Coturnix japonica: one gene and its partners. The protein of the gene in region 3 purifies or fractionates together with the protein of the main gene of each other region. This does not show direct contact. Links are inferred from orthologs where the notes say so. Each region holds a gene or a part of one and is shown on either strand. Other genes may lie near its edges.

What was found.
Region 1: the proteins of USP10 (region 3) and SIRT6 purify together in Homo sapiens (affinity purification with western blotting; 4 studies listed by BioGRID, with this or other methods). This does not show direct contact. The link is inferred for Coturnix japonica from reciprocal best matches to the Homo sapiens genes USP10 and SIRT6.
Region 2: the proteins of USP10 (region 3) and EIF4G1 purify together in Homo sapiens (affinity purification with mass spectrometry; 4 studies listed by BioGRID, with this or other methods). This does not show direct contact. The link is inferred for Coturnix japonica from reciprocal best matches to the Homo sapiens genes USP10 and EIF4G1.

The regions. Positions count from the first base shown.
Region 1 is NC_029543.1:1,707,388-1,718,149, reverse strand, and holds SIRT6 (NAD-dependent protein deacetylase sirtuin-6), read right to left. Parts: upstream 6,437-10,762; 5' UTR 6,355-6,436; coding exon 6,289-6,354; intron 5,621-6,288; coding exon 5,493-5,620; intron 5,122-5,492; coding exon 4,939-5,121; intron 4,783-4,938; coding exon 4,723-4,782; intron 4,159-4,722; coding exon 4,063-4,158; intron 3,826-4,062; coding exon 3,745-3,825; intron 3,583-3,744; coding exon 3,459-3,582; intron 3,001-3,458; coding exon 2,665-3,000; 3' UTR 2,536-2,664; downstream 1-2,535. Other genes in the region: ANKRD24 (ankyrin repeat domain-containing protein 24), read left to right, coding at 8,592-8,660, 9,660-9,790, 9,881-9,969, 10,112-10,176, 10,435-10,492, 10,568-10,638. UniProt on the Homo sapiens protein: NAD-dependent protein deacetylase, deacylase and mono-ADP-ribosyltransferase that plays an essential role in DNA damage repair, telomere maintenance, metabolic homeostasis, inflammation, tumorigenesis and aging.
Region 2 is NC_029524.1:13,907,129-13,917,947, reverse strand, and holds the start of EIF4G1 (eukaryotic translation initiation factor 4 gamma 1), read right to left. Parts: upstream 6,344-10,819; 5' UTR 6,225-6,343; intron 5,386-6,224; exon of another isoform or gene 5,366-5,385; intron 5,059-5,365; 5' UTR 4,998-5,058; intron 4,076-4,997; 5' UTR 4,042-4,075; coding exon 3,967-4,041; intron 3,856-3,966; coding exon 3,769-3,855; intron 3,489-3,768; coding exon 3,456-3,488; intron 2,579-3,455; coding exon 2,558-2,578; intron 2,345-2,557; exon of another isoform or gene 2,266-2,344; coding exon of another isoform or gene 2,227-2,265; intron 1,976-2,226; coding exon 1,802-1,975; intron 1,495-1,801; coding exon 1,395-1,494; intron 764-1,394; exon of another isoform or gene 745-763; intron 1-744. Other genes in the region: PSMD2 (26S proteasome non-ATPase regulatory subunit 2), read right to left, coding at 7,349-7,438, 7,518-7,685, 7,848-7,931, 8,109-8,254, 8,341-8,442, 8,526-8,688, 8,813-8,900, 8,977-9,104 and 6 more.
Region 3 is NC_029526.1:14,977,841-14,987,684, forward strand, and holds part of USP10 (ubiquitin carboxyl-terminal hydrolase 10), read left to right. Parts: intron 1-1,062; coding exon 1,063-1,108; intron 1,109-5,072; coding exon 5,073-6,098; intron 6,099-9,844. UniProt on the Homo sapiens protein: Hydrolase that can remove conjugated ubiquitin from target proteins such as p53/TP53, RPS2/us5, RPS3/us3, RPS10/eS10, BECN1, SNX3 and CFTR.

The DNA of each region.
Region 1 (10,762 bases), on a different chromosome or scaffold from region 3:
TCCCCATCCCTGTACTTTCCCTCATCCTTTCTTGTTCCTATCCTTGTCTCTTTCCTTGGACCTTTGTCCCTTCCCTCCCTCCTTATCCCTGCCACTTCCTGGACCATGATCCCATTCCTGCCCTCATCCCTCCCTGTCTCTCCCCCACTTATTCCCCTTTCTAAACTACACGCAGTCTTGTTCCTGTCCCTTTCTGGATGTCATCCTCAACCCTGAACCACGGTCCCCACCTGTGGTCCTCTGGGGCAGGCATGGGGTGAGCCTGCAGCCCAGGATCATCACCCATCCACGGTCCCACAGCAGCCACAGATGCCCAGCTCCCTACTGAGGCAGGGCCAGGGGCAGTTCCAGGAGCTTGTGCTGACAGAGGATGAGAAGAAGCTGCTGGCAAAGGAGGGGGTGTCCCTGCCTACACAGCTGCCCCTCACCAAGGTGAGTACCTGAGATGGAACAAATGGATGCCATACTTGAGGTCCTGGCTGCCCAAACAACCCCTTTATCTGCAGTATGAGGAGCGAGTGCTGAAGAAGATCCGGAGGAAGATCAGAAACAAGCAGTCAGCTCAGGAGAGCCGTAAGAAGAAGAAGGAATATATCGATGGGCTGGAGAGTCGGTACGGCCACTGAGCCCCTGCCTCAGGTTGGCTGCTGATAGGCACAATGCTTGGCACCCCTCACGTCCCTCTCTCTGTCCCCCAGGATGTCAGCGTGCACAGCTCAAAACCAGGAGCTGCAGAGGAAAGTCCTGCACCTAGAGAAGCAGAACTCGTAGGTGTCTCCAGAACAGACCGGGGACAAAGGGGAAGGTGAAGGGGTGGTTGGGACTCTGCTGGGATGTGGATCTCAGACCTCGGGGTTCTCATGCATTCTCTCTATCTCCAGGTCTCTCCTGGAGCAACTGAAGAAGCTCCAGGCTCTGGTGGTGCAGTCGAGCAATAAAGCAGCACAGACAGGAACCTGCATTGCGGTGCGTGGAGCTCCCTGCTCCTTGTCCCCATTCTCTGCCCTAAATCTCCTCCAGGGCTCCTTGCTTCAAGGGAGTTAGTAATCACTGGAAGTGCACTGCCAAGGATGGATGGGTGTGCTGATGTGTAGGGATAGATGCTCCAGGGTTGGATGGATATAAGAAGGGATGGACATGTGTGAAGGGTGGACGGATGATGTCCTGCCAGGGAGAAATGGAGGGACACAGCCCTGGTTCTGCCACCAGCCCCATCTTTGGGAATCACATTGCAGAGCCTGGTCCTCCTCAAGAGCCACATTATGGTAACACCACCCCTGTGTCCCCAGGTCCTGCTGCTCTCCTTCGCACTCATTGTCTTCCCCTCCATCAGCCCTTTCGCCCCTAGCAAGGCTGAGACAGGTGGTGACTTCGGACCAGTGCGAGGTAAGGAGGGCTGTGGGAGCCATGCTAGGGCTGCACAGAGGGCACTGCTGCCAGCCCTGACTCCCCCTTGTGCTCAGTTTTCTCCAGGTCCCTGCATAACGCAGCTGCCTCCCGTGTGGCTTATGCACAGCCCCGAGCTGGGGATGAGAAGCCACCAGAGCCACTGTGGTCAAAGCATCAGGATGAAACTGAGACACTGCACAAAGCCTTTGGCAGCAGCTCCTTCACTCCACACCTTGATAAAGCTCCCACCCGAAACAACACGCCACCACTTGCCTCAGAGGGGCTGAGCCAGAGTGATGGGGACCAATCTGGCACTGCATTGGGGGACAGCACTGCACTGCACCAAAGCCTGACGTCACTTGCTTGGACCGAAGCTGACCACAGCAGGCCCACAGTGCTGGAACCAGCTGAGGAGCTTTAAGCAGCACCCAGGGACTGCAGGGGACACAGTGGAGTTCAACACCTCTAGGACAAGACCCTTGGGGACCCTCTCCAGGCATGGACAGATGCTAGAGACCAACTTGGCTTTGCTTCTATCTGCAAACTGGGAAGAGGAGACTAATTCCTATTGGCCTTACCAGGAGGGAAGGAAGGGGCTGCTCCTGCCTGCTGAGTACAGTGGGAACTGGGGAAGGGACGTGGGTTGGTCAAGGTGGGGATGGGGGTACCAGAGGAGGCCTGGTCTGGCTGGATGTTGATGTTGCAGCTTGGTGGTTTTGTTCTCTCTCTTTTGTTTTTTTTTTTTTTTAACAAACAAACTTCATTTTCATCTCTAAATAAAAAGTATTTTAGAAAAAAGAAACAAAAAAGAAGAATCACCTGCCTTAGTTTAATACAGGTAATTCATAGAGCTTCAAAGACACCTTGACTGCTGTTGTCTGTGACAGCAGAGCTGGGACACTCAATCCAGGGCTGCCGAAGGAGTCATGGGCACAGCAAAGGGACCAGAACAGCATTCCACCACCACCCAGCTCTGCTCTAAGACAGCAACAGCTGCCCAATCCTGTTATGTCACTCCCCCTACCCAACACTGAGCACCCTTATCACGGGGTCCTCTGAGAGCCTGGGCTCTGCAACTTCCTATTTACAGATTAGGAACTGTATGGAGCAGGGGAGGTTCTTCCTGCAGGTACAGCTGCCCAGACATACATGATTCAAGTGTATTTAATACTTACATAAAAAAAGGGACAAAGCTTAAGGATATTAAAAAAAAAAAGTTGGTAGGAAAAGTGGCACAGACAAGTAAGTGTCTGGTCAGACAGGGAACAGTCTGGGTCAGGTGAGGAGAGGCTCTACCTTCATCTTCTTTGTCAGTGGTGGTCCTGTGCCTGGACTGGGACGCTCCTGCTTCAGATTGTCACCGTGCTCCACCAGCGTGGTCCCAAGGTCAGGGCACTGCCCAGCTGTTCCATTGTGTTGGGGAAAGGGCTCCTCCTTGAGCAACCCGTGAGCCTCGGGCTTAAATGTGTAGATCTCTTCAGGCTTGGCAGAGTCAGCACTTTCCACCACCACTGGCCCTGTCCACTCTGGGACTTCCAGTCCCAGGTGCTTCATCAGTTTTGTCATGACATCATCGACATAAGCATGAATGCGCAGGTCGGCCTGTTTGTCCTGGGGTAAGCAAGGACAAATGCAGCATTAGGGGGACAAACACGACGTACAGGAACAAATGTCTGTTCTCAGGGAGTGCCTGGGGACAGGGACTGGGCAATGGCTCAGCTGCACGCAGACTCCAGGGACATCTTCCATAAGGGAACACATACTGAGACCGTGGCCCCACCTGACACTGCTCCCTGGCTATGCTGCAGGCTGCTGAGGTTGCATCCAGGTGTGAACAGGCAGTCTGTGCCTTTAAATACAGCCCAGCAAAGCAGACATGGATGCAAAGCCAGGGTCTAGCAAGCCCAGGTCAGAATGGGACAATAACAATAGAGCTCTAGCAATAGATGCCCAGCCTGTCACTTCTATATGGCTGCTTGGAAAGGGACAATGTGCAGGGAACAAGTGATGGGACTGAAACAAGTGAAGGGAAAAGAGCAGGGTAGAGCAGCAAGGATGCTCTCACTCACATGCTTGGTTGCTTGCAGGTTGACTATGACCAGCTTCCCTCCTCTCTTCTTTGTGATCAGTGGGAGGTTGCCACTGGGTTTGATCTGCAGAGAGGTCCCCAGTGTAACAGAGAGATCAGCTTTTCTGCAGGGAGGAGATAAAATATCCAAGAGAGAAAGTAAGAAAAATAAAACCCAAGGGCTGCTTGCTGTGGTACTGGCAGAATGCAAAGGGCATAGACACCCTCCTGGGTCATTGCAAGCTGCAGCAATCAGCAGTCATGATATTCAATTCTAAATATGGTACCTGCAGGCTTCATCTGCTAGTGTGAGGTCACGGTCAGGCAGGGAATCTTCCCAGTCCAGAATAGTGTCTCTTAACTTCCCTCTATAAGAGACACAAGGACCACTGTTACCCTGCCAGGCAGGAATGGTCAGCAGAGATGGCTAGGAGACAAGTAACAGCTCTATAACCCAGACCCCCTGTCGCCCTGCAACACAAAATCTGAACATCAAAATCACTCACTCCTACCTCCCAGGTACTCTGTGTCCCCTCTTCATTTCACAGCACCCTGGGAAGCCCCATCCAGCACCCCTACTCCCATAGCTGCCCCAGCAGACGTACCTGCAGGCCCGTAGCCCTCGTGCTTTGGTGACGCTGCACAGCCTGCCCGTTGGCTTCAGCCCCATGCTGCCCACAACAGCATCCCGCACGTACTGCCTGCACACACAAGAGATGGTGTTATTTACAGCCACACGTATAGGGTGACTCACAGCAGCCACACATAGAGAGGTGACACAGCTGTGAAACATCCCCACAATACAGCATGTTCCACATCACAGACACCTGGGAGTGAAGGAAGCAGGTGATGGCTCAGAGCCACATGCAATGAGCTGGGCACCCAAATCCTTCATCAATTTCAAACCACAGCTATTGCTTACAATAATTTCCCTTTTAGGGAGCTTTGAACATCAGCTCCAAGGCCAAGAGAGGCTGTTACCATCCAGGATGCAAAGCCCAGCCTGCAGCAACCTTCTGTTACCTCTCTAAGCAGGCAGCCTCACTTGCCACAATGAGCAGAGGGTTTCCCAGGCAACAGAGGTTTCTCAAAATGTTTATTTCCCACAATATGACAGGGTTTGTGATTCAGATGGGACAGATCTGACCATGATTCCATGCACTCTGCACTAGGGACCTCTCCTGACAGGCAGCCCCAGGTCTGTGCAGTCCCTCCACTGTTCCTTAGGACAACAACAAAGCCCCCACCTGCTGCTGCCCACGTACTTGCCACATTTCGTGCACTCCTCCACAAACATGTTCCCGTGGAGCTCAGCCAACTTGTCCCTGTGAGAGAAATGACAGAAATGAATGGAGAACACCTTGTGCATTTAACACAAGAAACATTGTTCCAGGGTGGTTTAATAAGGTAGGGAGAACAGCCATGCTTTGGCATCTGGGAGAGACTAAAGGAACCTGGAGGCAGGGTGGGAGAGGCAGTACCGTGGGAATCCTGAGCGCACATGAAGGCCATCCACGTTCTGGCTGACCAGGAATTTCAGGATGCCGACTCTCTGCAGCCCCAGAAGTGCCATGTGAGTCTTGGAGGGCCTGGCGTTCTCAAAGGTGGTGTCAAATTTGGGGGAAAGCCCCTTCTCTTCCATAGTCCAGACACCATTAGGCCCCCTGCAGCAATGGGACAGGAGAAGGAATAAGTGAGATCTCAGGCTCTGCTACGCTGCTTGTAAATGCATCCCAAGCCCTATCAGTGCAAGCAAGGCACTGCTAAACAAGGACCACACATTCCTGGTTATTTTAGTTCAAAATGCATGTAGGGCTTCTGTGGGTACAGTTTAAAATCAAAACAGGAAAAGGTAGATTCAGCTGGATATAGGACAAGACAAGAGCAAAGAGGACATGAAAGGATGGCACAGGTCTCCCTATAGGCAGGATGGCTGGCAGGAAGCCCAGCCTAGATGGAAGATGGACTCAGATGAGGTGCTGTTGTGTCCCCCCCCCCCCACACACACACAGTGCCTGCTGCCCTCTGCCTTTACCTGAAGTCAGGGATCCCTGAAGCGGTGCTGATACCAGCCCCTGTGTGGAACACCACATTGGAAGAGCTCCTTATCAAGTCTGCCAGCTCACACACCTTCCTCTCCAGCTCTTCAGGTGGATCAAAAATCTGAGCAGAAGAAACAAATCCCAACGTGAATGGGGATATAGAAATGGGTCCTACATGCCTCCTGGTAGGCACAAAGAGTCAGCAAACCACTCTTCTATCACATCCACAATGGAAACCCCACGCAGGAAAGGAAATTTCACATTGCTTAATGCCAAATGTACATAATGAGGGAATAAGGCTTAAAATGAGGGAATAAGGCTTAAAAAGAGCAGGATGGGGGACAGCGATGGATGGGGGTCATGGGCCCATTCTGATTTTTGGCACAGCACAAATTCATTTCTATAGGACGGTTCTTTGCTCCCTAGAATGGGACAGAACTCCGACCCTTTTACAGCCCCATATCCTCACCCCAAAGCTTTTCTTAAGCTTATTGAGCATGAATGTGGGGGTTGGGGGGGACATAGGGATGGGGTCAGCCCAGTAGTGCCCACCCCAAGGTAAAGGGCCGGCCCTAAAGAATAAAGGGGACACGAAGACGGGGTGACAACGGACACAGAGCAATAGGAAGAAGGGAACGGAGGCCGGGACCGGGGAACCCAAAGACCCCATGGTGCTTGGGGTCCCCATGGGGCACAAGGCCTATGGAGGCCTTGGGGTCCCCATGGAGGCCCTATGGAGGCCTCGCAGGCCTCAGGCTATGCAAGGAGATCCCTCCACTCCGCTCTCACCTCGGGGAGGCCGCATTTGCCTTTATCCGAGTAGGGCGAGAGCCCGGCCGCGTAATTCACCGCCATGACCCGTCCCGGCTACCGGAGAGCTCATTGTTGTCGGTCCGCGAGCAAGGAGGCCGCGGCATCAGTGCGCATGCGCAAAGGCCTGCCTAGAGTAGGCCGCAGCCTCAAGACGCATGCGCAAAGCACTGCCTAGAGTAGGCCGCAGCCTCAAGACGCATGCGCAAAAGTCACGCCTAGAGAAGTCCTCGCCGCCATCTTTGTGTTTGGCAATAGGGAGCTCTGCCCTCACCCTGCTAATACATCCATTATAAAACATAGAACTTGGAGTGGAAAAAGACAAGGAGCTGCCTATGCTAAGAGGTGCCATGCAATGAGTGCATACAAAGGCAGAGGGCATCAGCTCTGCTGGCCTCAGCCATGTCTTACAATACCTTGTCTTACAATGTCTTGTCTTAAAATGCCTTGTCTTACAATGCCTGCAGACCTAGATCCATAATAGGGCTGTGATAGAATGGCTTAGGTTGGACAGGACCTTAAAGATAATCTAGTTCTACTCCCATACACTGGTCAGGGTTACCAGCTGCTGGGTTATGATCCCCAGGATCCCACCCAGCCCTGAGTGCCTTCAATTGGCATCCCCAACTTCTAACCAACCTGTTCCAGCATCTCCCTGCCTTATGAATGAAATATTTCTCCTTAACACATAACCTGAAGCATCGTGATGGTTTCAAACCCTTCTCTCCCTCATCTGAGGCTTCCCCAGCCTTGCTATAGTACCCCCTCCCTTGCAGCTGCCCTGTGTCTGGGTGCAGGGGTTTCAAGGATGTCAGTGCTCCTTGCCCTGCCTGGTGCTGGGCCCTCCCATGTTCCCCCCCCCCGGGCTGTAACTGCAGAGGTAACCCAATGCCAGTGTGTGTGTCCCCCCCCCCGTGTCGTGCTGTGGGCCAGCAGCAGTGAGACAAGGTACAGACAGGGCTGGTGTTGAGCTGGACCCGTAGCAGCAGCAGAAAAGCCTTCAAAGCTGCCCTCTGCAACAGCCACATCCCTACAGCCTGACCCCAGCGGGCAGATGAGGCTTTAAGGCTCAACCCAGGTACCACGGGACTGCTATGAAGAGCCTGAAGGCCAAGTTCAGGAAGGCAGATGTAAGTGCTGTCCCCAAGGACATAGGGATGTGTCCTGGGTTGTCCACAGGGATGTGGGGATCTGCCCTGGGGTGTCAGTGGGTTTCGTGGGGGTATGGGGACACAGAGATCTGCCCTGGGATGTCCCATGGGGACATGGGCACCTGCCCAGTGACCCAGCTTCCACTGGGATCATAGTTGTGAGCAGGGCAGAATAAAGGAAGGGAAAGCAGCACCGAGGAGAGGTGAATGTGTCCCAGATCCTGTACCCATTTCTGTCCTATGGGATGCAGGGATGGCTGCCAGCTTTCCAGCCACAGCAACCAGATTGGGTTCCCACTTTGAAGCCAGCAAGTCAATGCTCCTTAATTATTCAGCACCAGACTGGCACAATGCTGCATATTCCTGCTGTTCTCCAGGCTGGGAAGAAGGTGACAGTGCCGTCCCCACTGCCTATGGCAGCACCAGGGGGATGTGTAGGTGGAGGAGCCTGTGCATTTTGGGGTTCCCTCCTTGCAGGGGGTCACTGGTCCCCTAAGATTCAGGTGGGGGGATCCTGTGTCCCTCTTAGCCCCAGAGCGATGGGAGATCAGTTTCTGTCCCTCAGGGCAGGGTTGAGGTCCTACATCCTTCCTCCTCCTTGGGGAGCTGCTTGCAGGCAGTAGGAGGATGTTTGTCCCTATAGTTTGGGGATGCATCCTTTCCTCTTCTCGGGCACAGGGGTGAGAGAGCTACTCCTCCCCCCTCCACACACACACCCTCCCACTCTAATTGGGACCAGACTTGGTGCTTGGTGGGACCTCAGCACCCGCTCCGAGTCAGGGATGCAGGGATGCAGGGATGCAGGGATGTAGGGATGTAGGGATGTAGGGATGCAGGGATGTAGGGATGCAGGGATGTAGGGATGCAGGGATGTAGGGATGTAAGGCCGATGATAGGGAATGTAGGGATGTAGGGATGTAGGGATGCAGGGATGTAGGGATGCTGAAGCTCTGGGCTCCGAGGAGGGAGGGAAGGAAGGAGGGACGAAGGGACGGCAGGAGGCGGATCCCGGTTGTCACTGCGGCAGGACTCGGCCCCCGCCCCGGTGGCGGTACCGGACCGACCCGTGGTCTGGGGTCCTTAACCTGGAGCCCCGACCAGCCCAAGCTCAGGCAGAGAGGCAAGGGATGCATGGCTGCCCGCCGCCTCCTCCTCAACACCATGAAGCAGATCTGCCTCTGTGCCGCTGCATCCTTTGCGGTACGTCCCTCCATCCCCGCTCCCCTTCAGTCCTGCACATGGGGTAAGCTGTCACCCCCAACCCCCGTCCGGACCCCCTCTATTCCCAACCCTGTCCCCTGGGCTCTGCTGTATCCTCCCCGAGTTGCTTTGTCCTTGCAAGACAAAGGGGTGGGGGTGAGCATCACGCTCCCAGTTTGCCCAGTAACCCTGGGAGTCTGTTTTATTCCACACCCCACATCAGGGTCCCCTGGCCCTATATAGGACAGGTGCTGTGGCACAGGGATTCTGTCTAGCGCTGGGCATCAGCTGGTGAGGGGCAGGATGTGAGCTGTTCCCAGAGGTCACATCCATTTCCCAGCCGCAGCCAAGCTCTGGTTTGTTGTCCCAGGCTGTGGGGTGAGCCCCAGCTCCTGCTCTGCTGTGGGTCATTCCCTGAGGAAGGGATGTGTGGGGCCAATGGGCCAGCAAACCCTCACCTAGCCCCAGTTCTGCTCAGGAGCATCGTACCCAACACTGGGCTGCAGTCATCCCCAGGGACCTGAGCTCACTGTCAGCTCTGCTTGCCCTGACTTCACCCCTTCCTTGGAAAGGAGAAAAACAAGGCTGAAAATGGAGAGACCCAAGCAGGGATAGGGCTCAGGAACCCCTGTGTGCTGCCTATGGATAGCATCAGGGTCACTTGGGTGGCAGGAACAAACCCTGGGTGGGGGGCAATCAGGGAGCATCCAAGACCTTGGAACATTCAGAGCTAAACTGGGGCAGCTCTGCTACTTCCCCCATCTGTGAACTGCAAACAGGTTGGGGGATGAAGGGGAACCTCATTCAAATCAGATCTCCTAGATAAACCCTTCATGCAGCACAGCAGACACAGCAGCAGCTGGGAAAGTGCACCTAAGGGATAGAGTTGGGTGGGATAGAAGGGGAGGGGATGAGGATTAGTAACTGTGTCTAGTCCAACATCCTACTTGCCCCTGATGATAGCACAAGGATCACAGCCTCACGTTGGCTTCATTGCAGAGTCAGGACTGGACCAAGAACGATGAGAAGCTCTTGCAAGCTGTGGACTACAATGATGCTGGAAAGGTGGCATCCCTCCTCGTCCGCAAGGGTCTGGTCCCCACCAAGCTGGATTCAGAGGGCAAATCTGCGTAAGTGCTGGCCTGTGTCACCAGGGATACAGGGCTGTGATGGGGCTCAGGTGAGAGAGATGGGTCTGACAGCTCTGGGTCTTGCTGCAGGTTTCATCTGGCTGCCACCCGGGGGAATGTGGATTGCCTTGAAGCCATGCTGGCTCACGGTGTGGATGCCATGACCAAAGACAGCTCAGGTGAGGGCATGGCAACCATATACCCCTTTCTAATGCTGTGGTAGCCCTGCTCAGCCCAGCGGGTCCTGCTGTCCCATCTGTCCCCCTTGTGCTATCAACCCACTGTCTGTCCTCTGACCTGTCTGTCTGTCCCTCTCTGCAGGTTACACTGCCTTGCACCTGGCATCCAAGCACGGACACCCACAGTGTGTGAGCAAGCTGCTGCAGGTACTGGGGTTGGGAGGGAGGGTGTTGTACCTGGTGTCACACCACACTAAGCCCAGCACCTTAAGGGCAGCCCCAGCAAGGTGCCCTCTATCCCTGTTCTCCCTTCCCTCAGTGCTGGTGCTGGTTGGCATGATGGTTCCTGGCTCTATCTGGCACTGTTTGATTTGGGGCAGCCTTATAGCCCTATAGTAGCCACATGTAGCTTGCAGAGTCTATCTGTTCCCCACCCTGCTGTAACCCAGGCTCCCTCCCTTTCAGGCTTCCTGCCCTGTGGATGTAGCTGACAGCAATGGACAGACAGCACTTCACCACGCAGGTGAGTGAGGACAGTGCTAAACCCATCCTGCCCACATCCCCACATCAGGCAATGCTCACCTTCTGTCCTCCACAGCAATCAGTGGCTGCATATCGTGCTCAGAGATCCTCTGCGATTACAAAGCTCCCCTGAACATTAAGGACAAGGTGAGATCCTTCTGCTTCTCACCCTACAGAGCAGCAAAGATCCATGCTGGCTTTGAAATGCAGCTGCTTCTTGGGGTGTAATGGAGCAGCTGGCAGCACTTGGGGTCTCCAAAGCACTGCTATG
Region 2 (10,819 bases), on a different chromosome or scaffold from region 3:
AGCAACCTTATCTCTCCTGGGCCAGCAGCAGCCTAAGGGCGGCTCCACACAGCCCCATCCACGCCCTCCATTCATTCACACCCTTGGGCTCCCCACTCAGACCACTGTGAACTGAGCTCACAGCACTGAATGATGCTGAGGGCTGGATGCAACACTGGGCCCTGATCCAGACCCCAAAAGGTGCTGTGTTCCTCCCCAAGTTATCCATGCAATGAGCTTCTTAGGTAGGGCTGGCATCAGCCAGGGCTGCATCGTGCCCCAGGCTGGAAGCGACTGCAGTACCTGCACAGGGAGGGACAGGGGCAGCTGTACCCTGGCCTCCTCCCACCTCTAGCATTTCTCAGCCACACTGAACACAGAACTCACTCAGTGACACACTGACAGCCACTTTGCCCCCATTCTGGTGACCCACGCGTGACACAAAGCCAGCCTGCCTGCCCAGGGAAGCAGCTTGGGGTTGGGGCCAGATGTTAGGGAAGCCATGAAGCCACAGAAGAGGACCCCAGTGATAGGCTGGGGGAACATCAGAAGGGCCTCAAATCCCTCTAGTAGCTAGGGGGATGGGGAAGGAGGAGACCCTAAGACTGCAGGCTAGGGGACAGAACCACCCAGCACGCTCCAGGCACTATGGAGCAGTGCAGCAACAGGCCGAGTGCTGGGACTGGGCCCAGCTGGCCATGCCTGGGGCCACCTCCTCCCTCCGAGGGGCTGATGGGACAAAAGGGAGGGAGGACAAACACATACCTGGCTCAGGAGAAACCCCTCTCCGCCCCAGTTTGCTTTGCTGCCATACCGGGGACGGGACGGAGGCCTCAGCTCACATTTCTGAGTCTGCCAGGCCTCCCGGGAAGGACCAAGCCTAAATATAGTCACAGCCTGGGTGGCTGCATACAAGCCGGGGGAAGGAGGGGGGGCTGCTTTTACCACCACTCCCCAGCTCCGGGAGAGGGCAGGCGTGGAGCAGTCACTGCCCAGACCCTGCTCACCCAGGACATGCAGCTGGCTCAGGCAGGGGAGGCAGCACCAAACAACCACTCACCACCAGCTTGCAAGCCAAGGGGAAAAGGGGATAAAGTCTGCCCTGTCCCTCTGCCTGGGCAGTTAAACATTAATCTGTCCCGATTTGGAAAAGGAGGTGGGTGGACAGATGGGACACGATGCACGGCCTTCAGGAATGCACTGGGAGACATAGAGCCCCCCCTAAGATCCCAAAAGAGCACGTAGTGGCGTCAGCAGTCACAGAATGCACCTCACAAAACCCAGAGACACAGGGAATTTGTGCTCAGCCCACCAATTTGTGGGGTTGCAGGGAGGCCAGAGTCAGAGGAGCAAAAGGGATGAAGCATCGTGGATGGAAGAGCAATGGCACACAGAGTAATCCCCCCAGTCTGTACCGTAAGTCCCAAACTCTGTGGGGCTGGCTCCAGGGTAAAAACTAGGGGCACCAGGCTGAACTGGGTACTGTTGTGTTGGGACAACGTACGTTGAACGACCCTGAAATAGGGGAGAAGAAAGTTGGTTATATTCCCAGCAGGGCACAGGCAAATACCAAACCAGTGCGTGCCCCAAACCTGCGTGCCATTAAGGCAGGGCACAGGACACAAGACAAGCATCAAGTACCCAGGGTTAGCCCACAAAACCCCACAGGTGCTGCCCCTCTGCAGAGCTGGACAACACCCTGATGGAGTCAGGGACAGCTCAGAGAACCAGGGTAACCCCCTCCACCTCCCAGAACAAACTTGGGCTCCAACCCTGAGCCCACCCCAGCCCAATCCCGCAGAGCCCGGGGCACAGCCCTCACCTGTCCGGGAATGTAATAGGCTCCTTGGGAAGGTGTGTAGGATATCTGGGAGGGTATCATCATCACCTGGGAAGCAGCTGGATACACATGGGCAGGAGGGCCAGGCCGGGCCGTTGTGTTGCTCTGCACGCGGGACGCGCTGGCAGGAGGCTGGGCCCTGTTCTGGTAGAAATGCTTTGGGAGAGACAGGGATGCAGTGAGGCCAGAGCAATAGCACCCCCCTGCCAAAGGGACGAGGCAACCGAGCCAGGCCCCCCCTCTAACCCAGACAGAAGGTTCACAGCACCTATCACCCCAAAACTCATCCTAGGCACAGGGAGCACCCCTGGGTGGAGATTTAAAGAGGGGAGCCCCCCCACCAGAATGCAGCTCACCCCTTACACCCCCTCCCCTCCTTTCCAGGCACCCCCTACTGCCCCACACACCTGTGGGGGGCCCACCTGGCTCCATCCGACCCAGCTCATGCCCAGCACAGCCCACTCCCAGCCCAGCAGGGCCGGCAGCGCCCGGAGCCGGCCACGGCTGCACGCAGCTCATCGGCACGTCCCAGCGTGCCTTGCAATGGGGGCCGGCACTCGCGCTGAATGCCGGGACCTGCAGTCCCACTGTGCCATGCTGCAACGTGCAGGACACGCAGCCCCTGCAGCACTGCTTTACTGGGTGGCAGCACCCCAGGGCTGGGGAACAGGCAGCAGGGAAGGAGGTGTCTGCACGTCTGGTGTGCAGGGCAAGGCTGGAGCAAGGAGAAAGCATTACCTGGAGAGACCTGAATCCTCCCTGATAGCAAGTGCACGCAGACAGAGGGAGAGGGGAAAGAGAGAGAGACAGGAGTTACACTGCCGCGCTGGGGTGGGATGAGGGGATGGGGTGGTGAGAGGGGACGGGGTGGGAGTGCAAGCGTGGTGCTGTGGGATGGAGGAGCAGCAGCCAGGCTGCCAGTGTGATGGCCACATCCCAGATCCACCCATGCTGGGGGACGCGGGGAGCTGCCTGCCCCTATGGAGGTCCCTATGGAGCCAGGGGGACCCAGCACAGTGTGGATGTCACTAGGTTTGTGCCCAGCTGTTCCTTGGAGCTGAATGAGGCGCTTTGCTCAAACTCCCAGGGGCAACAGCTGCAGCGTTGCAGGCAGGATGCAGGGGGACACATCCAGCTTGCTGGGCACAAGGCCTTGTCCACCTCCTGGCACTGTCAGGTCCCAGCCCCACCATGGCTGCAGCCTCCCACAGCCTAAGGGACATGCTGGGTACACTGCAGAGAGACACTATCACTCCCAGGGCACTGCATTAGTCAGGGACAGGCCAGCAGTGTGACACAACTGCTGCCTCAGGAGACCCCCCCCACACTCCACCCCACAGAAAGAAGGAAGAAGAAGATGAGGAGAAGGGCACAGGCAGAAGCAGAGGCCTGGGCTGGGACTAGCACAGGCAGAGCCACATGCACTAGACTTCATGCAAAAGCAGCCAAGAAACTCGGGGACACCGCAGTGAAACCCCTCCAGCTGATCCCACTGAGTAATGAACCTCTTTCCTCCAGCCTGCTCCCCCCTGGGGCTCGGTGCAGCTCCCCACGTTCTCCCCAAGTGTTTCTGTGCAGCGCCAGGTGCTGGGGCTGCCCCGGGCGCTCAGCATGCAGGGTAGGGACTGGTTAGTACCTGCTGGTGAATAGCACGAGGCCCTGCTGGAAACTGAGAGAGGAGAGAGCAAGGTTTGGAAAGGGGAGGAAGGAGAAAAGAGCGGTCACTTGTTGGGTGCCCTGCAGGAGCTGTCTGCCCTCACCCCAGAGCCAGGGAGAAGGGAAACCATGATGGAGATTGGGGGCAGGTGCACGCCAGCCCCCTAAGGCAGGATCCTCATGCCCCCAGCACTGCTGTGGCCAACCAGGAAGAGCATGGGCTGCTCAGTCAGGAGGCTGCAGATCTTAACCAGCTCCCCAAAGCCTCATCTTCCCCATAGCAAAGCCCTTACCTGTCGTGGCTGAGAAGGCGTATTCATTTGTGAGGTCGGTGTCGGGTTAAAAATCACAGGTGCCGTCTGACCAGGTGGGAACGCTGACTGCATAGAGGGAACCAGTGGGCACTACAGCCTCTAGAAGCCTCATCCCAAATCAGAGAGGCAGCTGGGCACCTCCCACCCCCAAAAGCCATCGGAGGGGCCGTCTATTACCTGTGGAAGTCCGGGAGAAGGGGCAGGGTGCGGGGCTGTCGGGGCTCCTCCTGTGGGCTGTGGAGCTTTGTTCATTTCATGTGGTTGTGCATAAGGATCCCCTTGCTATCTGCAGGCACAGGCATAAGCTAAATGGCATCGTGTTCACAGCCTGCAGTAATCTCCTATCCTAAAACAGGGCCACGCAGCCCCTCTGAGAAGCTCCAGGAGCTGGGGTGGAGTTGGACAGAGGCTGACGCCGGGGTGCCCTGGCTCCACCCCGGCTGACCTACAAAGCGCTTCCCCTGGCCGGCCAAACCTGTTCCTGCCGGTGGTGCCAGGAGCCCAGCTCATGCCGCAAACGCCTACCGGGGAGGGCAGGGAGCAGCTCCCACGTCCCCCCCATGCCACCACACCACCACCACCACCCCCACCTCCAGGGACACAGCTGGGTCCCAGGAGGGACTTGGCACCATGTTCCACGCTTCCTGCCCGAGTGCAAAGGGCACCTGGGCAGGAGAGAGGAGGTGCCCCCCACGCTGCAGCCCATGGAGGGGGTCCCTGTGTCCCATGGCAGCATTAGGGCAGGGGGGGGAGCCTCACTGCCAGCAGGGCTGCCCCACGAGCAGTGCCTGTAACCCGACGCCTGGCTGCGTCAGCAATTGCCGGCCTGCCGGCCCCCCAGCCCCTCTGCTGGCCCCCCTGCCCTATGGTGAGCAAGGCACAGCCTACCCCCCTCACTTTCCTGTCACCCCCCAGGCGTGGGGGTAGCAACCCTCAGAAGGACCCGCAGCACCAAATACAGCCATCAGCCCTGACACCATCCAGGTGCTTGGATGGGGCCCGATCCTATACTCAGGGCACTGACAGTGCTGGCTAATGGGGGGGGGCTAAAGGGATTCAAGGTACAGCAGGGGCAGCAGCTCTCTGGGACAGCCAAGGCACCGGGCCTACAGACACACCGAGCTGCCCACCACCACCACAAGGCCGGGCCCACAGGGAGGGACACCACAACCCGGCCCCAAAGCGCCTGCACGGCGCCCCATACTCACCCCCCCGCGGGAAAAACCTGGGCCGACTGATCGGGCCTGCAGAGACCTTTCATCCGACTGACTGGGCCGGCAGGAGGGGAGAGAGGGGGGGAGAGACACAGTCAGCCCGAGGCATCGCAAGGGGCCGGCTCAGGCCGCGGGTCCCGCTGCCGGGCTCCCGGACCCGCTCGGGCCCAGCCCCGCCCCGCCGCCAACCCCGGCACGGGGCCGAGCCGAGGGGCCGCTCGGTGCCCCCAGACGCGGGCTCAGGCCGCACCGCAGGCGGCACAGGCCCGGCCCTACAGGCCCGAAGCGCCGCCCGAAGGGATCCGGGCCCCGCGGCTCACAGGGCGGCTCAGGCCCCGCGGAGCCCGTTCCGTGCCGCCTACCGGGCTCGGACACCTCCAGCCTTCCCCCCCCGCCGTGTCCGTGCGGCCGCCCGCGTCCCGCCGTGCCGTCCTTCCTCCCCCGCCGCGGGGCGATGACGGGGCCGTTCCCCCGGGCCGGGTCGAGCCGCCGCGGCGTCTGCCGGGCCCCAGCACCGCCTGACGCGGCCCCGGACCGGCCCGACCGGCTGCGGGCGGGGGGCAGAGCGGGGCAGAGCGGGGCGGCGGTGACTCACCCCGGGGCGGAGGGGAGGTGTGTATGTGTGTGTGTGTGTGTGTGTGTGTGTGTGTGTGTGTGTGTGTGTGTGTGTGTGTGTAGGGGGGGGGTGTTAGGCCGGAGGGGCCGGCTCCATCTTGGCGGCCCCGGGATGAGGAAGGAGCGGAGCGGGACACGGCGCGGGGCCCAGGGCGGCACCCGGCGCTTCGCTCCCCCCCGCGGCGGCGCGGCCTGTGCCAAGGACACGTGTCACCGCCGCCCGCCGCCATGGCCCCGCGGCCTCACACCGGGCCCGGGCGGGGCGCTGGGGCGCGCCACGTGCGGCGGAGCGGCGGGGCCCGGCGGCGGAGCACGTGCACGGCGGCGGCACGTGGGGAAGGAACGGGCGCTCGGGCCGGCTACACCGGAACGAGGGGCCGAGAGACGGCGCTTAGCGCGGATAACGGCGTGCAGACCGGCGGCGCCCACGTGGTAGCGGCGGCGCTTGTAGCGGTAGCGGCGGGGCCCGGCGGCGCGGCGATGCCCGGCGGTTCCACGCCGCGGTTCGGTTCACCCCGCCGCACTCGGTCCCGGTGCCGGTGCCCCCCCCCCCCCCCCCCCCCCCCCCCCCCCGCGGCGCGCTCCCGCCCCGCCCCCGCCCGTTACCTTCAGTCTCCTTCAGCGCGCGCGGCCCGACGCAGCCGCAGCGCAGCGCAGCACGACCATTTCCGGAGCCAGCGCGCAGCGCAACCACGGGGGGAGGGGCACAACCAGCGGGGGAGGGGACACCGACCGGGCGGCACCGAGACCGAGCGCCGCCCCCCGCCCGTGTCACGTGAATGGAGGGACCGGCGGGGGCACGGACACACAGCGCGACCCTCGGAGCTGCACGGTGCGCTGGGTGCTGCCCGACGGACAGGCTCAGAACTGAAGGGCAGCACAGCAGCACCGATCCACGCAGACTTTATTTCCTCATCTCCCAGTAACAAATAAAAACAACCCCCCCCCCCCCAAAAAAACCCCCAGTCATTCTCCCCCCCCCCCCCAACCACTCAGCCCCCAGCCCCCCTCAACAGTCGTAGTATTGCGGTTCTTGCCGCAGGATGGGGGAAAAAACGAAGCCCTCCAAGATGGGGGTTGACGGGCACGTGCTCCTCGGTGGCCAGCTCTGCCCCGCCTCGCCGTGTGCCAGCAGCACAGGGGTGGTGTGGGTCTGGAAGCCGGTGATGGTTTTGGGTTTGCCCGCTTGGCCCACCACATCCACAGCCTGCAGGAGCAAGCATGCTGAGATGAGGAGTTATGGGATATAACCCCCCCCAGCCACCCATATCAGGCTCCAGCTCCTCACCTGTCCAACCCGAACCGATACAGGCAGAGGACGCAGCTCCTCATCGAAAGTTGACCAACATACGGCGGCCTCGCATGGCCGCAACCAGCCCGTACAGGACATAGTGGGACTTGCCCAGGATAACTGAAAGGGGATGAAAGGGAGAGTGTGAGTGTGGGAAGGAGGGGATGGATGAAACACTCTATGACACGTTACTCACTGTTGCGCACATCCAGGAAGGACACGAGGACGGTCAACAGTCAGCCTACAGCCACCGTGGCTCATGAGCTGCCCTATGCGCTGTTGCGTAGGGGCACAGGGTGAGCGTCCCCTTACCCAAGTGGGTCAGGCCCTGGTGTGGCACAGAAAGCACGTGAGCACAAGTGGGGCAACACGTGGTGGCCCCCCCATCCACAGCCACCCCCATCTCTTCCCAACCACAAGTGTGGGATCATCACCTGGGCTAACCGCACCATGAAGAGGTTGTTGGGGTCCTTGGCGTGGTACTGGGCGAGCTGCCGCAGCATTGCAGCCAGCCGGGCGTTGTTGGTACCTGGAGAAGGCAGGGATTGAGGCACCGGCCTGGTCCCATGGCTGCCCACCATAACACACAAGCTGCCACCCAGGCTTACCACTGCCCACCATGCCCATGGCAAAGATAGAGTTGTAGGAGACTTCAGGGTCAGCATCGTGGGAGAACTTGCTGAGGGTGTCCAGGATGTTGAGACGGGGGTTAGAACAGAGATTAGCGCCAGGGCCAGGGGCACAGCACGGCGCAGGGTGGGCTCCCCATACCGCAGCTGCATGGAACAGAGAGAGAGAAGATATTAAAACCCAGGTAGGGGCAAGGGCACGGTGGGGCATCCACAACCCAGCTTACCAAGGCCAAGATGTGAGAGAAGATCTGCCCTCTTCATCCAGGTCCCTTCCCAGCCCCACATTGTCCCCCAGCTGCCACTCACCAGGTGACCAAACGTGCGCAGGGCCATCTCTGCACCAATCTCCTCACCCATGGCAATAAGTGCAATGCCCAACACTGCTACACCCTGCAGAGACACCAGTACTGAATGCCAGGCAGAGACCACCAACTGCAAATGCAATCTCTTACAGCCCAGCTGGACAGCGAGAGCAGAGGATCCTGCTGGGGCCACTTCCTCTGGGTCTGACTCCAGACAGGGCAGCTACTGGGCCTGGGCCGCAGGTTCCAGCCCAGGTTTTCCTACCTGGTGTGCTCCCATGTCAGCTGAGTTTTCTTTCTTCTCTTTCTCCTTTTTGTCCTTCTTGTCTTTGTCTTCCTCTTTCTCCTTGGAGTCAAAGTGCTCACTGCAGATGTGCAGAAGCTGCTGTACCTTCAGGACATTCCCTGAACCTGTGAGGTCAGCAGTGGGTAAGGATGAGCAGAAGGAAGGCCTGGTCCCACTCCCACCTCCCTCAGCCTTGGTCAGCTCAACGCACCAGCATAGGCACAGATGTCTACCAATGTGTTGGCAAAGCTGCGGAACGGCTCCGACACCACCTCCAGCGCTGCCAGGATCGCCTCGATGGCTTCTCCCTTGCCTGTGAAGAGGCACAGAGTTCAGGGCACCCAAGAGATGCTCACAGTCCCAGCTCACAGGACCACCAGTGCTGCCCTTTCTTACCCAAGTGGTTCAAGCCCAGGCCAAGCGGCAGCCACCGGGCATAGGTGTCCTTCAGCTCCGTCTCTGATTTCTCCATGATGGTTTGGAGGATGGTGGAGGTGACATCCCCATTGCAAGAGCCCACAGATATCATGCCACAAGCCAGGGCCGTCACACCAGCCACCTGGGGAGGGAGCCATGTTCTTAGGGCACAGCACATCACACAAGGACATGCAGAGCCCAAACCAGCCCCAGCATCCCCAGGAGCTGTCAGGGACTCGTGCAGCACACCCTGCTCTGCTCCCTACCTCCATGCTGGACTTAGAGTCCCCCATCACTGGCAGCAGCAAAGTCAGGACATCCTCGCGGTTGGAGCCCGCGTAGGCCAGCCCCAGCCTATGGAGAACAGAGAGGAATGTCAGGGATGGCTGCACCATCCCACACAGCCAAGGACGCCAGGGCAGACCCTTACCCAAAAATGGCTCCGATCCGCATGGTGTTGCTGTTGTGGAGGACATAGTCAGATAGCAGGGCCAGGGCAGGGTCGCATTCATTCCTCACTCCTGAGTTGACGATGCCACAGGCCAGCAGGGCACCCGACTATGAAACAGAGGCACCATTATGCACTAGCCACCACCACATGGAGCTCCCTGCCAGCCAGTGACTCATGTCACCCCACAGGTTACACTTGCTCCCCAGGACAGGCTGGTTGGTACCAAGTGAGTATGGGGCTGAGATCAGTGCCACTCACCTTAATGTAATCCTCTGAGGAATAGAGGTACTTGTCAATCTGTGTGAGGCCCCCATCCACGTCCCACAGCAGTATAGTGCCCAATGAAGCTGCAGCACTCAACATTCCTGTTGAGTTCCCAGGTTCCCAGGGAGAAAAGCCCAAGTCAGTGTGACCAGCCTGGACACAGCAGGGCTGTACCCAACTGCCACACTTTCAGCAGGGCCCACAAAGGGTCACAACCCCAAGCCCACAGCCACCTCCAACCCTCACCGTGGTCTTTGTTCTTGTACAACCATTTATTGCCATCATCTGTCAGCAGCTTGTCTTGGCCGAATGCAGCATTTACAAAGCCGTTCACGAAGGAGGATGCCAAATTCATCCGGGCTGAGTCCACTTGGGAACCACTGCCCCCAAACCCTGGGGAACAAGATCAGAGTGAGGCAGGCCAACACTCCACTGCACAGTTGTCCCACGCCAGACAGTGGGTGAGGCCCCATCCCCAGCCACAGGGAAGGAGCAGACAAAGCCCACCAGAAGCAATGGGGTCTGCTCTATCCAGAGACAGACAAGGTCAAAACATGAGCTCTTACGGTTATTTTCCAAGTGGGTTTTGTAAATATCATCTGGTACTTTGGGCTCCATGATGTCCAGCTGCAGAGACAAGGGAAAAGAGGGTTATTTCCCCACAGACGCACCACAGCAGCTGTTCTACAAAGACAGCCTTGCCAGCAGGACCTGGCCAGGCTCATAGGGATAAGAGAGCTCTCCCCAGGTCTTGCCACAGAGCACAAAGCCTGGTGGCCAGGGCAGATCCCAGCCTGGAGCAGCCCAGAGATCTTTCTCCAGCACAGTGCTCACCTCTCTAGCCAAGGCCAAGAAATTGCTGTTGAGCTGGACGTTGGACATGATCTCAGTCAGGTCCTCGTACTCCTCCACGTCCTCATTCAGCTCCAGGAAGACCCCATGGCGGCCCAGCATAAAGGCCATCTGCTTCTGGACAACTCTGCAGAGGGAAGAGGCTTTGAAAGCATCCAGCCCCCATAGCCAAACAGCAGTCACATACCTCAGCCCACCCTGCTCAAGCAGCATACAAGAACAGCCCAGAGATGACTGGCTCCTGCTCATCTTTATTTTGGGGACACCAGTATCTGGCCAAGCCCCCAGCCACATCTGACAATGTCAGGATCCTACTCAGCTGTACTCGCCCCCCCGAGCCCAGGGACTGTCTCTACTTACACATCTTTGCAGGAGGTGAAGATGTCCTCCACCAGCTCCACATCATTGAGCATCAGAGCCAGGCGCAGGGCTTCAGGGTAACGGTTGAACTTGCGGAAAATGCCCAGAGCACAGCGTAGGAGAGCAGAGTTCTCAGGTTCTGGGACATAGCTTACGCAGCTTTGAGGAGGAGATGCATATGAGGATGAGTGTCAGCCAATGAAACTGGGCAGCCTTAGCCCACCAAGGGCCAGACAGATGCACCAGTCCCTCACCTGGTCAGGTAGAGGCACACTTTGGAGTAGGCGTTGTCATCAATGTATTTCTCCAGCATGTCCATCTGCTCGATCTCCATGAGAAGGTCACA
Region 3 (9,844 bases):
GTATTTAAGTCTTTTTTTTCACTTGCTATTTTGGTAAGCTGTTGGAATCAGAAAAAAGGAATGAATTACAAGTTTCATTGTAAACTGTTGATTATACAATGTATGTGCTTAATAACTTTACTGTAGAAGTATTTTCTAGCTACCACTGACACACTGTTGTCCACAGTGCTTTAAATAGGTAGAATGTAAGGATTTTCACTTCTATGGCATTGAAGACTTCACAGGATGCTTTTGAAACTTGTTTTGCTGTTATATCAGTATTATAGCCCCATCAAACTGGCTGATGTGTCCCACTGGAGAAAGAGTTCAGCTCTTCTTGAGGCAGCTGTGGGGCTGCTACGTAGCATTGGCAACCAGTTCATGGCAGGCACAAGAGAAGAGGTATTCAGCTGCTGGGGAAATCTAGGGGGAGGCCATGGAGGCTTTAGAAAATTCCCATCTCAGATTATACGATAGAAAAGGTTCTGTCAATCTTTGAGTCCATAAAATGATACCAGTATTTACAGTCCAGATGGTTTCTGTGTGCTGGGATTATTTCCTGCTTAGATCGATCATCAGAAAAACTTGTTTTAAATGTAATTACTTCAGCATTACGTAGAATGTTGCTCTTGAAGTGTTTCAGCTAGTAGCTGAACCAGGTTGAGAGTCAAAAGGTTTAGGTGAGAATATCTTCTGCATAAAGCTCTGTTTATATCCTTTCTCAGGTAATATGGTCTATCTTTGCTTCAGCTTTTACTTGTAAAGAAGATTTGTTTCTTGTTTTTAAAATCGTGATGAGTTTGCTGATGAAGGAGGATCTTGATACTGCGAGGTGAAGTGGTTGAGAAGTTGATGAGCCTATGATGTGTAACCAAGATAATCTTTATCTTTCAGTGGTGGTGGTAATCTGCAAGGACACTTGAAGCTACAGTACGGGATTTGATAAATATAGAACCATGAGTTCAAGACACTCTCAGAAAATTAGACCTTAACAGTGGGGTTATTCTTAAAGTATTCAGATGTTTCAAATGAAATTGTTATTAATCAGAATTTATTTCATTTCCTTTTTGTTTTTTAATACAGCTTCCCCCTTATAATGAAACAGTCTCATGCGGCATAAAGTCCACAGGTAAGTGTTTCATCATGGTGGGAATTCAACATCCACTCAGGAAAACTTAGTTTTGGAACTTTCCCTACAACTACTACGGGCTCTCTTTAAATTTTTTCTTTAGAACTCAGCAGGTATATCGTCATGTTGCTTTTTAAAGCCCATACGTTGCATTGTACTATTTGAAGATGTTGTATTAAACATCAGCTGATCAGCATGGACATACTTCTCAGTCGTGCTGCCACACAATCTTGACATCCTGCTCAAATAGTGTAGAATGTAACTGTAGATGTATGAAGGACTTTAGCTTGCTGGTGAACTTGTACAGGAGAATCTAGTGGAGTTTCTATTGTGAACCTTAGGGAAGAGAAAGAAAGCTGAGTTAAACCCAGACAGATATGAGAATGATACAAATGTCATCTAGACCCTCTTCTAGTTAATCCAGATATTTGACTGGCTGTTTCTCAGAAGTACTTGTGAAGGTCCAAATACACGTGTTTACAAACTCTTGAGTTATTATGTTTAGCAACTTTGGCCTTGCATTTAAAAGTAAATAAGGTAGTTATAAAAGGGATGAGAGGCCTTGCATGAAAGCGGGTTAACAGCACTATTGAAAATCAGGCGGCTTTTATGTGTAGTGTAAGACTAGTTTTAGGATCCCAAGTAATTTTAAGTAGGAGTTTGAGAAGTTCATTTAAAGGGCTGTATGGTGGTACAAACTGTTACTGGTGATGGGTGCCCAGTCATACGCTGCTTTGTCTAACTACGGATTTAAGCTGTGTTCTTTAAGATGTAGATTTTGATGTTAACAAGCTGTACAGAAAGTTGGTTTGTACAAATGTTTTTCAGATCATTCCTAGATCGTGAGAGAATCCCTCCCTACCCTGAGATTAGGTAATGACAGCGAATTAGGTTTTGCCTGACAAGTGTCTTTAACAGGCTTGCACTGTACTGTGCATGCGTATTATCGCTGTGGTGGCTGCATAAGGAACTGTGGAAACTAAAATGGAATGCTGTGCTTATGCAGAGTATTTGTAATTAAATTGAGATGACACGTACTGACCACATTGTCACCTTGTAGCCTAATTTTTTCTACTCTGAGTATTTAATTTTATTACATAATTAGAAGACTTGTTAATACTTACCAGGAATAATCAAATCACAGCTGAAGCTCTAATATTCAGACTAATTAGTACTAAATGTTCACAGCTTTGGTTATTGTACATAGACTTTGTCCTGGGAGCGTTTGTTGCTGCTTGTTTCAGTATGCTGTCATGTTGTTCCTGACAGATGCATCTGTTTCAGGCCGTTCACCAATTGTACTGTGAACTAGATTGAAACAAACTTGCCCAGAAGCCAAGTGGAAAATGAAAACAAATAGGAAAAAAATTACCTCTTGTTTTTCGGAGGAGCTTTATATGATCTTATGGCAAATGAGCTCCTGCTGGGCAGCCCATAGACTAACTATAGAGTAGATGCTGCTGCTTATCATTTAATTTCTGCTGCAAGGTGTGAAGTTCAATTCCTTGCTTGCGATCTCCTAATTTGTATTTAATGCCAGAATATCACTTAGGCTCTTGGTTAGATTTTGTCCAATGGAGTCATGTTGTGCCTTCAGCTAAATTAACCTGCTGTTGCAGTGTTCTGTTTTCTGCTTTCTTCTTGCCCTGGGTTGGCTCTTGTGATTGTCTAGTCCATGGTAAGCTGATTAGTCCACCAGAACAGAAGAAAATACTCTCTTGGACTATTTTTTGCCAGGTTAGCTTTGGGCAGCACATGTATTGGAAGCTTACAGGAGGAGCTGTTGAGGAGGGTGCACCTGAGACCTCTCACTTTTGGCTGTGGTAGACTTAACTCATAAAAGGAAACCCCTATCTTTGTTTTAATGCAATTATAGTTATTTTTTTTTTAAACTGAGATTTTGAAGAAGAAACAGATGTCCAGAGTGTTTGCAATTGGTAGGAATCTGAAATGTGCACAGTCATTCCTTCTTACTGTGGTTGACAATATCACACGTCACCAGTGGTAGAGAACCAGCTCTTGGTTTGTGTGTGAACTAACAAGTAACTACAGAAGCAGATGAACTAATCAGCAATAGCTACGGTTTGGATTGGTGTCTCTTAAAACCCATGCGCTGCATTTGCAAGCAGAACAGTGACTGGTTGTGAGCCCTGTGTCCTGGTGAGTCAGCCTGTGCGTAGCCCTGGTGAGCCGGTTAGTGCAGAGTGAGGTGACGTCCCTTCCCTCTTAGTTGGATGTCATCTCTCCACCTCCCTGCCTCTGGGCTGCTGATTCTAGAAAGAATTAAGCCCTCTCTTCTGCGTGGCGTCAGGCAGCGATTGCAGAATTAGTTGGTGAAAGGTGACTTGACAGGCATGGTGTTGGAAAATGCATTCACCCAGGTGTGTGGGGAGGGCTAAGAAGGTCTGAAGTTCAGGCTCTTGTTAGCACTGTTTAGGGAAGTCAAATTATTATTGGGAGACTTTTTTCCTCTCTTCATGTTTCCTTCAGTCTAACTGGCAGCAAGATTGAGACATCAGATGTGTTTACTTCACATTTAGATAATAATAATAAATAATAAAGCATTGAGGGAAAAGCAGTTAACATCTGTATTTACTTGTTTTTATATTGGCATGAAATTATATTTGGAAATGGTGTGAGGTATTCATGGTGTAAAATATGATATATTATTACTTGATTTTTTTTTTTGCTTGATAATTTGTAGTATTTTGTTATTGCATGTATCAGACCTCAGCACACACTGAATATGTGTTACGCTTCATTTGATATTATATAAACCTGTACATTTCATCATCATTATTTTCAGTTAGTGTTTTTCCCAGCTGGCTTCTGTAGGTTGCAATTGAAAGGATTTGGAACAAAATATTCTCCAGACTCTGTCCTTTCATAGGAAGATAACAGATAACAGTCTTAGATAAGTCTTAGATGTTTGAGGTGTGCTTTTTAGCTCCCCATCTTTTGAGGGAACACAGGATGTAAAACTATCCTTGAAACAGTGACATCTGTATCATAGAAAGACCTGCTAAACTAAATGACCAGTAAGCACTATGACGTGGATTCACCTTTAATGCTTCTGAGATGCCAAACGTTCATTAGTTTCATCTCTTCGTGGAAGTAGTTACATCCAAGATGGTCAATAGTTGCAGCACATGCATTATAAAACTAAGTTCCATGAAGTTGCAATGCTTTGCAGCTGGTAATATATAGTGATATTGCAGCTTCCTATGAGTATTTGTCTCATTTCTTTAATGATGTCAGGTTGAATTTATAAAACATAACCCACCAATTTTTCAGCACTGATTGTAGTATGATTTGAATGCGGGCTTAGATTGGGGTTTATCTGTTCCATTAGACTGATTTCAAGATGAGAAATGCATCACGCTGTACATAGTCATAGATTTGGCTGTTATAAAACTTGCTAAGCTATCGATGAGCAGAGAGTTCCAAAAGCTGCAATCACATTGTTTCCATGCAATTGAAAATATTATTCACTTAGTGGTTGTTGTAAAAATCTTTACATGCCGTGGAAAAGTGTGAGATAGATTTTTAAAGGCTTGTGCTTTCTAATTTTCTGTGGAATAAGCTGGCTTAGGAAGAAGCACGGGGTTAAATATTGCACCATAATTTGTATGCACTTGCTCAGTAATTAATTTAATTCAGAATATTGCTAACGTCATTGGGTTTCAGTTGCTCTTAGTGGGCCAGTTTAACAGGTGCTCCTTGCACAAACAGTGCAGCAGCTTTGAAAATTGCAGACTCAGCTTAAAAAAGGCTCCATGGGTTTCAGGAAAATGATGTTTTAGAAACAGTCTTTAGGCTTGATACAAAGAGTAAGAATGGTGGTTGTTTGAGGGAGGGTCGCTTGTTTTCTGAGTTGCAGGAAAATATATATAATATATATATTTTTTTCATGTTTTTTTGCTTGATGTCATTTAGTAACTCAGCTTTACTTTTTTTTCTGCAGGGGAGGAGTATCAGAGAATTGAATTTGGTGTTAATGAAGTTATTGAGACGGAGTCTTCTGTACTAAATAACACCGACTACAGTATTTCAAGCACTCTGAATCCTCAGGCTCCAGAATTCATTCTCAGTTGTGCACCTGCTCAGAAAACCCCTGATGTCAGCCTTGGTGAAACAAACTACAACTCAGTCGACTGCCAGTTCTCTGACCCTACCCTCACTCTCGATAGTGGTTCTAATGCTGAAAATGACGGCTTGTCTGGAGGCCTTGGACAGAGGGAGCGTAAAAAGAAGAAAAAAAGACCCCCTGGATACTACAGTTATTTGGAAGATGTCAGTGATGGCATGGCCCCCACAGAAGCTCTTGTAAATGGCCATGCAAATTCATCGGGACTTAACAGTGTCGGCCCGGAGGATACAGAACTGACAGGGGAAATCCCTTCTCTGGCCACACCAAGGACTTGCAACAGCCCGGACAATTCTGTGGACTTCGTTCATGAAGCTGTTTCTGATGATTCTGTTTCTAGCGCACTAGACAATACCAGGACTGCAGGGCAGCCTGAGGTATGCAGGGTTACTAATTCTGAACAGTTTTGCATCCCCTCAGAGACTGGCAGAGATAGCCCTTTAAGGACAGCTGTTGTACAGCCTTATGCTGGTACTGATACTACTGAAAGTCTTGGCGTTACTAATGGACAAACACTTGAATCCTCTGGTGAGGACACAGCTGCCAATGGGGTAGAATTGCACACTGTGGAAAGCACTGACTCAGACCAAGCTAAGCCTGAGGAAGCTTCACCTACTACTGAGGCAACAGCTACGGTTGCAGGATCAATCCCTGTTAATCAGCCTGCGAAATCGTGGGCTAGTCTTTTTCACAATTCCAAGCCCTCTGCTTCCACATCTGTGGTGTATGTTGAGACTAAGTATACCCCTCCTGCCACATCTACTCTTGTCCCTGAAAAACAGGTTGAAGTCAAAGAGGGACCTGTTCCAGTTTCAGAAGATCCTGTAGCCATAAAGATTGCAGGTATAGTTATTACACATGAGTGGATATTACAGTTAGAAGAGTGTTATTAACTTTGCTTGTAAACAGGAGTGTGCAGTATTGATAGAGAAGGCTCCTTTCCTAATGTTCTAAGGGTGAATGTTAGGACACAGGTACGGAAGGGGTAATTTAAGCTGCTTACCTGAGTAAATATTGCAAGATGTTATCATTTGAGCCAGGTGCAGGAAAAATACTGCTGCTTTTCAAACAATGTGCTTAAATGATCTGTGATTCCTAAAAATAATGGACTAGTTGTATTCAGCCATGTGATACTGTAACAGGGAGGGCCTGATAGAAAAGCTTGTGTCTCATCCAGTACTTACGATTGTGTATAATGCCTTGCAGCAAAGAGTGTTAATGTATTTATACCAAAGTAGATGAAATTCCTGATCACTTACAGTAGCATAAATGTGATGGATAAACAGGTTCTGCTTCAAAAGTTCCAATTCAGCAGACAGTAATTGGATTTATTGACGTACTGCTGGAATGGTACGTCTTGCAAATACTGAAGAATGATCTTTAACCATTTGAAAGTATGTTATTTTATTCAGATTAACAGTGCTATTCATTGCCTGTTCAAAAGGGTGATCGTAAGAAACTGTCCAAAGGGTACATTCAGAAAGATGATGTGATATAATGTGATATGTTGGTATTGTCTGTGGTTGTAATGAGCAGTACCAGAACATGAATGTGATTGCTTTCCAACTGAAACTACATGAAGAAAAATAGCCTGTTAGTTATATTTTGTGTCACTACACAAAAATAATTATTTTTAAATCGTGAAATAGTCCAAGTGGTGGAAAACATTGTGTGAAATCCCACTGATTTATACCAGAAGTTAATTTATAAGCACAGCAGCAGCTCACGTGTGGCGACATCAAGACAAAGCTCATTCTTCTGCTATAACTGGAAGCTGATGTGGAGATTTCAGAGCAACCTGCAGCGTGTACCTGCCTCTCATCCACTTGCTCGCTCAATGGTTTCACAGCCTACAACTGTCTATTGAGAGTAAAGCTAATTCTGTGTCTCTTTCACTTGGGCGTCACAAACACAGTTGACTGTGGCAAAGTGTTTGTACATACAGGTGGTGGTTTGTAAGAACCTGTGCATGCAGCGTACTTCATGCTTTCAGAAACTTAAGCTGTCAGGTGGCAATGAGTCTTAAAACTGTTTTGTGGCAACTGTTACAGTAGAACTTCTTACCAAAGCTGTAGGCTTGTCTGGGTTGCTGCAGCTTTAGCTTTGTAGACATGGGGTGTTTCTGTACAGTTTTTTGCCACCAGGTGGGAGCAGCGCCTTTTCTTTTGTCTCTAGTATATTGAAATAGCAATATTCCTTCGCAGTCTTCTTTTGTATCTTCGCTGTTGAGGAGGAGTAGGTTGTTTATCAATCCTTCTCCAGTGGAAAGGAATCCATCTTATTCTGGTTAATTTAGGTGGGAATCATACTCTAGATGACATGCACCTGGTTTCACTATAATACACAGTGCCTTGCTCTGAGGAAAGAGGGAATTTCTTCATTTTCTTCTTTTTCTTTTTTGATGTTAGTCTTGCTTGGAAAGAAGTCCATCAAGTGCTTTGCTTATGCATAAAGATCAGGCATAAATTGAGTTCAACAAGCAAAATTAACAGGTCTTCTGACAGTGAAAGTGTGCAGCTTTCATTTGAGGAGGGTGCTCGAGACACGAGAACACAAATGTCTTTCCCACAGACAGTTGAATTTTGCCAGTGATTACAGGGGGATTAATGGTTCACAGGCACCTTGAAATGAATTTGCTGCTATTTGATTCAGCCTGCAGAAGTCTGTGGCTTCTTAATCCTCAAATGTGAATGAAAGCTCACGGGATAAAGAGGTGAGAATCAGGGCTAGAAGATAAAACACTTGAATAGATTTCATGTCACTCTTTGTTGGGGAAGAATTACTGAACAGTTTTAGTAAGCGGCTGAGATGTGCTGTGAGCATCTGGCAAGGAGTCAAGGGGTGGTCACTTAACTGTGTGCTTTGGTGAGTAGGAATAAATTCAGTGAGGGAATCTAATAAGATATTCTGAATCCTGTTTCCTTGCACTGTTTCTGTTGTGTAGGTGATGGAATTAACAGTGCGTATAAAGTTTGTTTTGCCACAGGCAAAATTTCACATAAAGAACACAAACATTGAAAACGTGAATCAATCTGGAGTGCTTTTAAATTAAAAGGGAGGTAAAATCCAATACAGATAAGTGTGGAAAGGTGTGTCAGAAGTAAGTGCATGCGGACAGTATGAAGGGAAAATGGTTGATAATAGTAGTAGGGAATAAGAGGATATGTTAATTCTAGGGAGTTTATGCATATCCCTAATAAAGTTGAAGGCTAAATTATATTTCCAGTTTGTGTTAATACCAGTTTATGTAGAAAAGATTGAAGATGGCTCTTAGAACTCTGTTGTTAGTAATGGGGACTTGATGAAGAAGTTGGCTCATCCTCAGGCTTTAGTTCTGTAGGGAGATGTAACAGGCAGAGAGAAGAAACATTCAGAAGCCACGTTGTTTCAGCAAGCATGGAAGTTTGGATTTATTTGTTTCAGAAGAGTCTGTAGGAGCACGACAATGGCTCTAACATCAAATATCTGAAAGAAATGCATGAAGACTACAGTGATTCGTTGCTTTCTGAAGACAGTAGCAAGGCAAAAATTACTTCGTTTGTCACAAAGGTTCAATGTCACAGCAAACATGGAAATGTTTTGGGTTTGTTTTCAAACCAGAGCCATGTTCCATAATTACATACCAACAAAAGGGATGTGAGTTCCTTCTGGTTAGTGATGTGTGCTTTATAGTCAGTTCTGACACTCTTAAGAAACTTTCCTCATGATTGTAAGTGTATTTTGCCTTATGATGCTCTTGTAAATATTACTGCCTAATTTTAGATTTGGTATGAAAACGTGGTACGGATGTAATCATGTAAAGCAAAAAATCTTTGTGTTGAAAGAAAACTCACTGCAGTTCCTTTAGACATTATTTAGAAGGCAGTTTTATGACCACAAGAGGATGCTAAAGTCATAGTAATACTTTTATTCAGTGTGACAGGAGATGAGGAAAAATACATTTAACCTGAAAAGTTATTGGTTGACATTAATTAAGAGTTATTCTCATTGTCTTTGTCCTAATTTTCAACAGCAGTTAATTATATTAAGAAGATTGAATGGTGTGGGCAACCCATTTAAACTTTGTTCCATTAGTAATGTATTCTGAAGTTCTTGAATGTTAATAATTTCATGGCAAGTGTGTTTCAACGTGGAAGAGTTTTCATCTGTACCCTTTCAGGTGCCGGGTTCCTTCTGTAGCCAAGCACTGAGATATCTGTCTTGTGGTTTTAATCAGGACTACCACCGTTAGCAGGGACCATGGTCTTAGGAAGCGGAAGCAGAAAGACGTGGGCTTTGTGATTCTGCTACCTATTTTGTTTGTTTATTGCTTTATGCTTTATCTAGTGCAGGATCACCAACCAGCAGACCAGGCTGCTCAGAGCCGCATCCAGCCTGGCCTTGAATGCCTCCAGGGATGGGGCATCCACAGCCTCCTTGGGCAACCTGTTCCAGTGCATCACCACCCTCTGTGTGAAAAACTTTAGAAGCCCTTGTGTTTATTATAAAACCAAATAATCCTCCCAGCAGGCAATTACTATGATTATGTGATTTTTTTTTTTTCCTTTCCTTTTTTTTGTGCAGCTTTGCATGCTGTTTATCCATCTTTC